Drosophila melanogaster: one gene and its partners. The protein of the gene in region 3 interacts with the protein of the main gene of each other region in a pairwise test. Each region holds a gene or a part of one and is shown on either strand. Other genes may lie near its edges.

The links. Proteins that work in one complex are often made in the same cells at the same time.
Region 1: the proteins of CG31775 (region 3) and Dpm3 interact in a two-hybrid assay, tested with the Drosophila melanogaster proteins (one large-scale study listed by BioGRID).
Region 2: the proteins of CG31775 (region 3) and Elovl7 interact in a two-hybrid assay, tested with the Drosophila melanogaster proteins (one large-scale study listed by BioGRID).

The regions. Positions count from the first base shown.
Region 1 is NT_033777.3:13,401,409-13,404,740, forward strand, and holds Dpm3 (Dolichyl-phosphate mannosyltransferase subunit 3), read right to left. Parts: upstream 1,644-3,332; 5' UTR 1,581-1,643; coding exon 1,431-1,580; intron 1,363-1,430; coding exon 1,228-1,362; 3' UTR 1,151-1,227; downstream 1-1,150. Other genes in the region: GILT1 (Gamma-interferon-inducible lysosomal thiol reductase 1), read right to left, coding at 271-342; yellow-e3, read right to left, coding at 2,040-2,527, 2,593-2,986, 3,051-3,332.
Region 2 is NT_033777.3:7,992,203-7,997,671, forward strand, and holds the start of Elovl7 (ELOVL fatty acid elongase 7), read right to left. Parts: upstream 3,651-5,469; 5' UTR 3,221-3,650; coding exon 3,218-3,220; intron 1-3,217. UniProt on the Drosophila melanogaster protein: Catalyzes the first and rate-limiting reaction of the four reactions that constitute the long-chain fatty acids elongation cycle.
Region 3 is NT_033779.5:14,736,049-14,740,388, reverse strand, and holds CG31775 (uncharacterized protein), read left to right. Parts: upstream 1-2,619; 5' UTR 2,620-2,658; coding exon 2,659-2,670; intron 2,671-2,737; coding exon 2,738-2,995; 3' UTR 2,996-3,299; downstream 3,300-4,340. Other genes in the region: CG42585 (uncharacterized protein), read right to left, coding at 1-367; CG31835 (uncharacterized protein), read right to left, coding at 3,389-4,340.

The DNA of each region.
Region 1 (3,332 bases), on a different chromosome or scaffold from region 3:
CGACGTGTGGCACAGTTCGTTAAACTCTCGAAATGCCACTTGTTGCTGCCACGAAAAGGGTGCAGCTCTTTTATGGATTTTTTTATTTTGCATTTTTGTATTCCTATACCCCCACTATTTAGTTATTCGACTTAATCACGTCTTCACCTAAATGGTAAAAGCAATTCGGAGTGCCCCTGACACGCTTGGCTGTTGTGTAATGGCTTAGTTGGCCCCGTTGGCTGATTTTTCGCTAGTTTGGCGAAGGGTTTTTCCGAGCCGGAAACTCACCTTAGCGGCACTATAAGCCGTGGCAATCAGGCAGCTCATCAAGAGGCACACAGCGGCGATTTTGTGACTCATCTTCAGGCTTCTCGTTCTTCAGAATTTCTTATAAATGCAGTTATATAGCCAGCACGTAACGAACGGCGGTCGTGTTGTTAGCGGTTCGGTGGCTGAGCGCGAACTGTTGATTGTTGTAGAGAGCTTGACGCTTAAACCGCCGTTCCAGTTCCAGTCGGCCATTAGAAAGCCGATTTCCAGACTGCCCAACCATGAGTAAATAAATGTACTATCTTTTTTATCATCAACTATGTATTATCTTCTTGAAATTTATTTCTATTTTCAAACTATTGTCCGCCATTAAAAAAAAAATTACACAAATTAACTTCAAATGGCTATTAATCGGTTTATATTGGATCTTTTGAGTATCACAACATTCAGCTTCGCAATTATAACTCCTTCCAGTATTTTGCAGAAGAGAAAATTAAAGTTTTGAAACAGTATATTTTTTTCTCTTTCGCATTGTAATTAAGAGAATTTTAAAAAAATTGATTTATTGGAAATAGATAGCCAAAGCATGGATTTGCAATATATGGTTCGCACTTACGAGTTTTCCATATACCATGTTCATTAAGTAAAAATATGTTTTCCGTAAAGAATATTATTAATCTCTTTAAACGTATTTTACCTCATATACTTTTTTAGTTTTCTTATATTTTTTATTTTGAGTAATTCACAGGGGAGCTAAGCCAATTAAACATAAACATATTCCATACTTTTTCAAGCATATCCTTTCAAAACCTCAACATAATTTGGCCACCAAACTTCCGACACCTGGGGAAATCAGCCCCCAACAACGCGTCCGCCCACACAAAATGCGGTCTAGAGTAAATTTGCGTAATTTTTGTTTTTATAAATAATGGAATTACAGATTAACATGCACAAGTCCTACGAGCTGGAAGTCTCCTAATCTCGAAACCGAAATCCCTTGGCTATCAAATCCTTGCGAGCCTCCTGAATTTCATCCTGCAGCTCCTTGGCGGCCTCGGGACAATCGTTAAAAGTCAGAGTTCTATATAGAACAGTCCAAACGGAATATATCTGTGGGTAATATATAGTAGTAGTCAATAAGAGGTGTTATCTGCATTGATTCATATCCAAAAACTCACTCCAAAAATCACGAGGAGCAAAAGTGGTAAAAGCTGAATGTGCAGGAAATACTTGGTAGTTAGTGGCGTTTGCACTGTTCCCAAAACAACGGAGAGATAGGGAATCGCAAAGAGCGATGCGTAAAATAGCCAGCGTTGTAGATTTGTCATAGCTAACGAAATTTATTGGTAAACAAAACTAAACCGAAAATAAAGTTCTACACGTAAACATAGAGCTGGAACTTAAGCCGATGGTCACCCGGTAATTCGATATCGATATTTACCGGCTACTATCGATAGGAGGTTTACCTATTCAAATCTAGTTAGAGGTTTTCCTATTCATGTCTAGTTGGAGATTTTCTAATTAGTAATTCGTAGCCTGACGGCTTCCAGTTAGACATTGTTTACTTTTCTAATTGGCTAACTTAAGTGTGACCAAGCCCTAAGCACGTGCCATAGCACAAAGCTATCCACAGTCAGCAAATCAAATGCCATACTACTCAGCTAAACACAGTCAGCAATTTATCGATAGATCAAAGTTGCGCCATAACAGCCAGCCTTCTACAGCCAGCAATTTAAATCAGAGTAATCGATTGACGCAGTTTCAAACTTGTTAAAACTAAGTTTTAATTAAACGTTGGTGGGCGTGGTTTCTGCGGCGCCCACTGTACACGGCGTGTTGGCAAGCAGGTCAGCGGTTCGGCAGCCAATTATTTGGAACTTGACCTCGTTCGCGGGCAAGTCGCCGCCAACAAAGAGTTTCGGCTGGCTGCTCAAGGCCCACAGCTCCTCCTCTCCCTTGGAATTCCTGTTGATCTTGAGGCCCGTGACGAACTTGATCTTGTGCGGATTGTAGGCCACCACACGCAGGTCATCCGCCGTGTAGTTGGACACGGACTCCTCCCATTTCACCAGCGCCCCTAAACTGATGAGGCTGCAGTAGAGATTCCCCGACTGATCCATCACCTCCGATTCGCACTGGATTCCTCGGGTGCCCAGGCTGTGGAAGCTATCCCTGCTGGCATTCGCAGACTTCCAGAAGGTCTCGTTGTTGATCAGGGAGAGCGGAACCCTCATCTCATTAAAGGAGTTCAGCGTGTGAAAGTACAGAAAGCGGTCTGTAAATTTGCATTGGAAATTATAAATAATTTTTGAGTATTTAGAATTTAAATTGAATAGCTACCTTCCACTTCGCTGGGACTGAGGCTCACTGTAAATATTCCCGCCTGCGAGTTGCTGGAGCGTCCTAATCTCAGCAAGGGCGACGGCTTCATGGACTCATGCTCTATGCGCCAGGATCGTCCCGTCAGGGAGTCAAACACGATTAGACCATAACCCCAGGCATCGGCTATATACGCTCTGCCGCCAACACATCGGTTGGGTGTGCCCCTCTCGGCCAGATCCACCACCAAAGCCGTGAAGATGGATACGCTGGGAATGTAGGAATCGGGCGGAAGTGCGTGTCGTTGGACTAGTTCGTCCTTCACCAAATCAAATGTGAGAATTTGTGGCGGGCACAACTGCAGGGAGTTTACCTGCCCTGAATCCACCACCCAGAGTCGCCAGCACTCGTCGATCTGGGAGAAAACGATAAATATTCATGAAATATCTTCTGTTGGGAAAATATGCTTTATTACTTACATAAGTCCTAATGGCTGAGGTGATGCCGGAGCAATTGTTGGGTGGCACGTGCCACTCCTCGTTGGGATACGGTTCCAGTCTGGGATTCTCCACCAGCTCATTGTGCTCCGCAATGACGGTGGCCAGTGTGAAGGGTGTGGCCATCCCCAGTCGCGGAATCGTGAGAAAGGTGCGATGCCTGCCCTCATCGCCGTACTCAATGTCCACATCCACCGGCAGAAAGCGATTGCCCTTGGACAGATCGTCGCCCAAACTGAGGTTCGTCCACTGATGCAGGGTGTG
Region 2 (5,469 bases), on a different chromosome or scaffold from region 3:
TGGGCGTGTTTCGTCATCTGAATGATTTGATTATGCAAATAAAGTATTGAATAGATTTAATTTTCCACATTATTCACTAACTATTTAGGTCAGTCAGAAATATGGTAATATGAAGAAGTTTCAATAGGTTTTGGAAAATTCGAAACCTTTGAGCATTTTTATTTTTTGGTTAATAAGATTATATGATTACCAATTTCTTTCAGTGCAAAGCAGTTTTTGCAGCAACTAAAAACTCAGCCAGTAGTCAAGTGCACAGCTGCAAATACTCAACAGGTTGGCTAAATGTGCGTAAGTGTAAGTGAGTTCCCCAAATACCATTTGAAAGCCTCAATTCGGGGGATATATTTTAGCTGATTCATTCTACATTGCGTTTGTCAGGCCGCCAATGTTGATTTTTTCGTGAACGTTTATGTTAGACGATTGCATTAAAAATGGTTCCATACCATTTGGATTCAGGCATTCAGGCATAATATGCAATTCGAATTGGGAATGTCGAACTTTGGTTTTCGTCCCTGCTGCCATTTCCCAGCCTAAAGTTCTCTGCCCCCAAGCCCGTAAATCACTAGCCACACAATTAAACAAGCAATGACTTTTAGCTCCTCAATCACTTTACATTCGCGTATTTATCAGGTTGTTTCTGTCCACTAATTTAAATTTTGCTTTAGCCCCACAATGTTGATGTTGATTTAATTATTTTGTGTTCGGATTAAATGTGTCGAAAATATATTACTGCAAATGCGTTCGTTGCTTTAAAATGGAATTTATTTGTAATTTATTGTTGTACGACAAGGAAATTATTTAGAAAATATTATTAAACATTTTTAAAATACTTAAAAACAAAATCGAACAACTTTAGCACCTAAGTCCCATCTAAATTCGCACTAATGGAAATATGTTTAATCACGAATTCGGTATGACAGCATGGCCCACTAAATAATTTAATTTATACAAATAAATTCATCCAACCGACCCAGTTTAAAGCGACAAATATGTATAAATTAATTGTTTTTTCGGGAACGAAGAGTTTGTATAAAATTGCAAAAAAAAAAAGGCACTCAAAGAGCTGTAAAATATGCAAGCCAGCGTGTTTGAATAATAATTTAAAAGCTGTTATTTTTAGTGTTTTTAACACCTTTACTGGCATAACTTTTCTGTCTAATCTCCAACGAGCAATAATTGAATTTCAAATGACACTTACTTCAATCACGGGCCGATAAGAGTCCATAAATGTAATCATTTTCAGGTACTCTCCGTTTAATGGTCTCTTTACGTTTATCTACCTCGAATTCCTCTCTTCGCTTGCGTTATCAGTTTTTAAGTGTTAATTTGCTCGGGAATATACACAGCCAGTAAAAAAATTGCTGAGAGACACGCACTTTTTTTATGTAGAACAATAAACCTTTGCCCAAATGGCATATTCGCAATTGAAGTGAACGAAGACTAGCTAGCTACTGAGAAAATCGCGCATACGCCGTGTGGAGCCAAACAAATCGAAATGGAGCAGCGAATGCACTGCGATTTCAGTCACATGCGGCAAGCGTTATCTCACACACACACACACACACACACACACACACACTAAGTACTAAGAGGGCACTCTGCCTATGGTTTTGTGTTTACTATATGCTCTCTACATGATTCTCTTACCAAAAAACAGCTGAGTGCCGAGCGGCAGTCAACAATAAAGCGACGTCAATGCGTCTGAGACTGGCTCTCCAATGTAGCTAACTGGCCCACAGGGAATGCAAGCAAATCGGCTGATTAAGGCACATTTTTTTTTATTATGATCACTTGGCGGGGGCTGCGCAGTTTGGCAGCTGGGTGGCAGTGGCTCTGGCTCCAACAAGCAGCCTCAAACAACCCAGACCCGATAGCCCATAGCCGCCCATAGCCAACTGGCAACTAGTAAAATTCGCCGCCAGCGCCTTTGCACTTTTCAGTGTCAAAAGAGGCAACACAAAAATGCGGCAAAAGTCCCAGTCGAAAATAAAATCGAGGTGTAATAATCATTGTGTAAGAGGCCAAAAGGAGAAGAAAACAACTCGAAGATTTGAATAAGTTTCGATTTCTGGGTTGCCTGCTTATTTTTTTTTTTCTTTTTTTTTTTTTTTTGTGAAATGGTGCAATGCCAGTGATCATTAGCCAGCGGTAGTAGCGGCGGCGATTGGTTAACCCACTGGGGTTTTTTCTCTCGAATTTGCAGAGCTGCTGAATGAATATGAAAATCACTGGATTTCTACACAGCAGCAGCATCTGCAATGATGGGCCGAAAGCATAAGTAAGGTGGACGGGACAAATGAGTCGGCCTGGCCCTGACTGGCTATCATTTCACCTGCGCTCCGATCGCCAGTTATCCCATATCCCCGGCCGAGATTCAAGGTCAGCGATGCACTGCATTTCCGTGTGAAATGTTGTCATGCCAGTGAGCTGGTGAGCTGGTGAGCTGGTGAGCTGGTGAGCTGGTGGGCTAGTGAGCTGGTCAAAGCCAAAAGCCAGCCTTCACTTCACTTGACCGCCAGCCAGTGATGTTGCTGGTGTAAGTGCTGCTGCTGCAACTGCGGACATAACACAGCGACAGCTTCGAAATAAGTGCAGCACTTGCAGTTTCTGTATGCACTTTTGGCGGAGCTCGAAAGCGAATGGCTCTAGCAAAACAGAACAGAGCAAAACGCTCATGTTTTGTGGCAGAAAGCGGGGGAAAAGTGGGCGAAAAGCGTGGAAAGGTCTGCGCGGAGTCGGCAAAAATGCATTTGGGAAAAAACAGTGGAAAACCTTGCTAGCGAATGTGTACTTGAAAACGAAAACCAGTTGCTGGCGTGCGGTTTTTTTCCATTTCCAAAGAAAACGAATAAGAACCAGGAATGGCTGGTGCTCGAGAGGTTTTCTCGATTAATAATTTGCTCAATTAATTTTAACGGCTGCATTGCGGATATTCATTATAGGAGCTTTATTTATTTTTTTTTTTATTATTAATTTCTTGCTTAATAGCAGCAGCAGCACACACGAGTCGTGTGCAAAGGGTCATTTGTGGGTTGTGGGATTTAACGGAAAGCCCAAGTCAACGTACGATCATGTATATTTATTTATTCAGGCTTGCATGTTGGGGGTCGGCATCGAAATTACTGGTTGCAAAGGCATTTTAATAAAGGAGGTTTCAGTGGCATCAATTTTCCGTTGAGTCACACTGGGTGTTCGGTCGGGAACCCCCGCTACTTACCATTGTGCTAAAATTCGCTTCAACAGGTACTAAATGCGCGTTTATATTCCGTTTGTTACAAGGAAGCGTACTGTATTTATTTATTTTTTCTTTTTTTTTTTTTTGACTAATTTACAGAGATTCTCTCGACTTTGGTATACGAATTATCACTTTTTAGCGCACTATCCTTGTTCGTTTCGTTTCGTTTTTTTTTTTCGTTTTTCTTGCTTGTAGGTTTTTAGTTATTGTTTTACACACGCACACACTGTTTGACCATCGTTATACGGTTTTATGGTTTCTACATCACTGTTGCGGGGAACTGCTGCTGATGCTACTGCTGATGCGACCGATCTGCCGCTGCTGCTGCTCCGCTGGACTTTACTGGACAACAACTGGACAGCGACTGGGCGAGCGTGCGCTTTTTACATTCAAATCAAAAACACTGAAATAAGTTTGATTTCACGCTGCCGCTTTACTTTTATACCGCCTCGCAGTCGTAGGAGCGGACTTGGCGCAGACGTCGACGCAGATCGTCGGCGCCGCCGACCGCTCATTTTCGGCGAGCGTGGCGATGGCGCTGGCGTTGAGGTGAGCCGAAGTCGAAAGCTTCGGTCGCTAGCCACAGGTTCTGAGCAACAGGTTGTCGATGTGTGCTCTCGCTCTGACAGCCGAAGCGATCGGGTCGGGCGTCAGGATGCCAGAGCGAGAGCGAGATCGGCCAGCGGCCCTTTGGAATCGAATTCTTGGTATCCACCAGTGGGGGTATCACCCGCCTTTGCACCCACACCCAAGTGCGGCGCTAATTGCCGCCAATCCAAATATCGGAGCGGTACTTTTGCCGCGTCTTGGCAGCGCGCATGATTGCACAGTTCAAAGTTCGGCAAGAATGTCCGTTAATTAACCCCTGCCCAGGCCCGGCCCTTCATATCGGAAAAGTGTGCAAAAATTAACGTAGCCACAAATCAAATCAAATCAAATCAAATCACGGCGAGGGAGAGCGGCGGAAAGGTTGCCAGCAACAAAGCCCAATCTTTGGATACGTATGCGGTAAAAAGCAGAAGAAGATGGGGCTGACCAAACCAGTTTGCCTCTTGGGCTCTTAAATATTTATAATGACCAATACTTGGCTTTCCTCCGTTTGCCTTCGTGATGGCCAATAAATGGCCAAAATGCGCCGTGAACTTCTGAAACATACAAATTCCCGAATGGGAAAAGCGGCTACCGAGACCTGGATGTTGCAGGCAACCTGGCGGATACTTAATATTTCGGAGGACCCGACGCTTACTTGTTATTTGTGCAAGCTTGAAACGTTACGTAGTCGATTTTTGTGAGCTAAGCAATTAGATCGAACTTTGACAGCGGCTTGGTTGACGATTTACTTACCCTCAATTAACGACCCTTCAACTACCTTTATTCTAATTTACCTGCTAAAAATCTCACCATTACCCTGCACTTTTGATGCGTTTTTCGACAAAAAACCCAAGCAATGCAACAAAGCAAACATTTGCATTTTTCGTCTCAAAGTCCGCTGCATGGCCGCCGAGCACAAGATCTTTTTGCGGAATTCTAACCGAATAACACGTAACTGACCATGTAATCTAGCCGCGCCAAATTTACATGTGCAAACAGTCGGCGGGGGAGACGATGAATATGTATAGACATGTCGCCCTAAGCTGATCCCATCTCACAGATCCGAAACACGCGTCTGCCATATTGGGGGAAGTATGAATACGATCGATTCAAGGGCTTTCTAGTGGCTGTATGACTAGAGGAAAAGCTCACGATGAATTGACCATGCTAGATCAGAATGATCCTCCTTATATGGACAGAGATGGCAGGTAATATTTCCGCTTGCTCTGAAATTTTCCATTTGATCATCAGAATTTAGACTGCGACTGTACTCACCAGACATGGATATGTTTTTCCCAGTTAGAATGCACTTCACTAGTCCTTTAACTAATGCCGCGCACGACAATATATTGTAACACAAGTTTTAGGTGCCGGCAAGCCACGCCTAGTTGTAAAATTTATGTGAACAAAAAATCAAAATAAATAAGCACTTTATACCCAGAGATTCAACCTTGAGCATTTGCAGAAAATTTACATACAAATCGAAATGTTAAAGCAATCTGAAAAATATTCATAATCTAATTAAATTCATTAACGAAAGTGCACCAGTTCACCATTTGAGTTCAGTGTGTTAATTTCTCAATGCGATTGCATAATCGCAAAGTTGAAGGAACTTGGCCGCGACTTCCGATCGATTTGATATA
Region 3 (4,340 bases):
CCACCAGTTCGGCGGCCGACAGTCCGGCGCACATGGGGCAGACCACATATTCATTGGACACCCGATGTTGAACGTAAACATGTTCGATGAACCGCTTCGCTGTGAGCGCAAGTAGGCCGCAATGTGGACAGGTGAAGCAATTGGACAGGTGGACCAGCTCTGGGATTTCGCCGTAAAGCAGCGGAACCAGATCGTCCGAGTCAGGGAACAATTGCATGGGATGATTGGCGCGATGCTCTTCCGTTTCTATCTGATGATCGTAGCATATGTCACATAGGTTATAGTTCACGCAGCGCAAACACCGGAAGCGGCTACCCTGGAAGATCGTCATTTGACAGCCGTTGCAGCAAATGTTGCGGTGACCCATCCTCGATCCTTGTGCTAACTTCGTTCTTAGCGAATATACCTAAACTCTGGTCGAAAAAACGGGCAAAAGGGTTCTAAATTTTAACAAATCGAATCTATACAATGACATGATTTTCATAGATGTAAAATATTTCGGGGCGTTTGGTAATAACATATAATTCTACTTTTAAAACTATTTTTCAACCTAAATGTATCAAACTTACTCAAGCTTTCTACATATTTCCTTTGCCTCTTTTAAACAAATGTTTATTTTTGGAACCTTAAGTACAGCGAAAAAAAAGTTAAATAAACATGCACTGTACTATTTTGTCCGGTGAGCACAGCTATCTACGTGACAAATAACGATAATGCAATTTGTTTTCCAAACCTATATGAAACGAGAAATAAGCCCCCATTATTGATAAGGAACTAAATCTTTTATCTAAATCTTTTGACAGTAGAAGATAACTCAAAGGATATTTTATATTTGCTCAAATCAGAATGCAGTTATCGAAAATTAAACTTCCCTTGAGCTGAAAATTTAGCTTGAATTTATAATTATACATATGTCCAAATGTAATACAGCTTCAGTGTGTGTACACATAAAATTCAAAACCCAAAAAATCCACAAAAATTGCTATTTTAGTAGGTATTGCGTTGAACACATCGGTTCTAAATGTGGCTGTTGTGCCATTAGTTACTCTTCTGTCTCTGTCTCGGTTTGAATCTCCATCTCGCTCTCTTCTTTTTAATTTTCCCGACTTGGTGCGCGGCAGTTGTAATAGAAGTTTTCCGGCTTCATGCACCTCCGCCCTTGCACCACCCCCTTTCGGCGACCATTGTGGTGGATTCAGTACACTCTTAAAAATAAGATGTTTAATAAACATATAGCAGGTGGAAGCCGAATGGAGCGATTTGCACCAAAACAAAGTAATAAAAACAAAATTTTCTTATTTTTTGCTTATTATTTCCTATCGAAATCTATATACCCCAAGCTGTGATTATTAGATTAAGCGTCTGCGATGAGGTAGCAAAATTCTAGCACTGCATTAACAGAGCTGATTTCTGATCAGGGGTTGAGGACCTTTAGCCTGATCTTTCTTCTTGTTAATTTGTTTTGCTTATTTTGGAGCTGATTAGCTATATACCGATTAAAAGCTTTTCAATTGCCACTAAAAAAAAAGTATAAGAAACGGCGAAGACTTTTTAGCGCTGCATTTAAATTCACAAGCTTAACAGTATTCTTTTAGGCTGAATTTGCTCTCAAAAAAAGTACAATTGGTTTGGAAAATTTTAAATGTTTTTGAATGTAACCAAACACAGCGAAAAAAAATACAAATAATATTTCTTTAAAAAAAAGGATGTAAAGAAATAAACTAGTCTTATTAGTTTAATAAATACAATTTTTTAAGACACATAATTTCTATGTTTTTATAGACGGTACTTGTGGAGTAATTGAGTATACCAAATTCTTTAAAAAGTCTGTGGGAGTTCGAAGAAGGCGTTGCCGAACCTTTACCTATACAGAATATATATATTCTTCACCAGCATCACCAGCGGAGTCTATCTAGCCGTATTCGTTTGGCCATCTGTCTGTAAGCCTGTCTGTATGAACTGAATGAGATTCAGACCTCTAAATAGTTCCAATTCTTTCAGAACCTGTGCCAACAACACTCTAGATTCTTCATTGATTTCATCTAGTCTTGTCTTGTAAATATCTTAGTTCTTCTATTAGCTAAGAAATGGGTATCTGATAATCGAGGAATGCGACTATAGTGGTCTAACCTGTTAAGCGCTAAAATTCAAAGACATAACATAATTATACGTATGTATAAAAAATTAATCCATGATTACAAGGATTTCATACTTAATTATCCCTCCTCATTTCGAAAGTCTAATGATAACCCAGAAAAGCAAACAAGAACATTTGTTGCCGTAACACGTTTGTGATGCGTGAAAACGGAACATAAATGATCTAAAGTAATCTCAAACAACGTCTTCTTCTAAGTCGCCCTTAGTTTTTCTTAGCAACTGTTGCGGACTTATTAGATTAGGCTCGACTTCCCAGATAAGATTGATGTTGAAGGGTTCCCCCCGTTGAGCATAGGCATTGATACAGTGCTCAAATATTAATTTCCCAGACGTCTGGAAATTTTTTTCGTATTTTTGTTGGGTTAATTGTACTTGATTTTGTCAGAACATTGATAATACTTCGGCGCGTGACGACATGATGAGATTGCAGGAGAGTATAAAAGATCGGAGGCGTCCAAAAATTTTATTCACATTAGCAAGACTAACCGAAGTATCAGCACCATGAAGTTTTTGGTACGTTTTACATATACGCTTCAAAGAAAAACCTTTAAGAACTAAGTTGATTTTAATATTGTTACAGATCCTCTTCATTGCCCTATTCGCCGCGGCCGCTGCCCTACCTCAGTTTGGATTCGGCGGTGGATTCGGTGATCAGCAGCAGCAGCAGCAAGGAGGATTTGGAGGTGGATTTGGTGATCAGCAGCAGCAGCAAGGAGGATTTGGCGGTGGATTCGGAGGTGGATTCGGTGATCAGCAGCAGCAGCAGCAAGGAGGATTTGGAGGTGGATTCGGAGGTGGATTCGGTGATCAGCAGCAGCAACAGCAACAAGGCTGGTAAAAACCAATTCATAGCACCGTCTTAACGCAGATACCTCAATAAAAATATGACACCTTTATGATAAAAAAACAATTGGAATTTTTTACTTTATCGTTCTCGAAAATTTATGAGTTTTATGAAAATAAATTTATATTTATTATTCATTTATATTTATTAAATAGTGCCCAGAAATAAATACACTTAACATAAGGGACAACGGGAAATATCTTCTCTTTCAGATGTTCAAATGGTTTTACTTAAAACATTGTAAATATAAATAAAAGCCAAAATATAAAAGCCATATTATAAATATAAGCCAAATTTTCACAAAAATTTTGTTTTTCTTTGAAATATGTAACGCAACTAAAAAGCGGATTCAACATGATTGAAAAAACAGATACAATTTCGAGTATCCTAATCAATGGCCTCCTCAGCAGCCACCCTTTTGTGCTCCTCGATCTGCACCTTGTCCAGATCGACTCCATCTTTTTTGGCTGCCCGTATCTCGCCTTCCCCCTCCGATCCGTCTAGCTGGTTGGTCTGCCAAACTCCTGTCCACGGCAGTGACATCACTGACATGACCTTGACCAGACTGCTATGGTTTTCCTGGTCTAGATCACTCTCCCCATTTCCTTCCCGTATTCGTCTGTCTCCATCCGGCAACTGCAACTCCTCGCAGCACAGCATGGAAATCAGCAAGTGCTCAACGAAGAGGGTTCGCCGCAGCCTTTGAGATTCGTCCGTATCGTGGCACTGCACTTTTTGCTGTGCAATCCACTGAAGTAGAACATATCTGTCGTCGTCGTGTTCGAATGGCCCCCCGGAACTCAAGCCTAACGCCAGGGACTCTGAATTGGCTGCCTCCTCTGGAGGATCATTGTTGCTTAGGAGCTGGGGATCGGAGCTCACACGTCCAGTTGACAGCCATACGGATATATCGAATATCCTTGAATTCGGAGTTGTTTGCAACTGCGATTGGCGGTGGTGGCGCATGTGATTACGGGTAAATATTCGGCGTAGTGGCGGTGTGTCGGGCTCTAGGTAATTGGCGTGATCGATGTGGTTGTGCAGGAGATGTTTGGAAAGGTGGCGTATGGCCACCAGTTCGGCGGCCGACAGTCCGGCGCACATGGGGCAGACCACATATTCATTGGACACCCGATGTTGAACGTAAACATGTTCGATGAACCGCTTCGCTGTGAGCGCAAGTAGGCCGCAATGTGGACAGGTGAAGCAATTGGACAGGTGGACCAGCTCTGGGATTTCGCCGTAAAGCAGCGGAACCAGATCGTCCGAGTCAGGGAACAATTGCATGGGATGATTGGCGCGATGCTCTTCCGTTTCTATCTGATGATCGTAGCATATG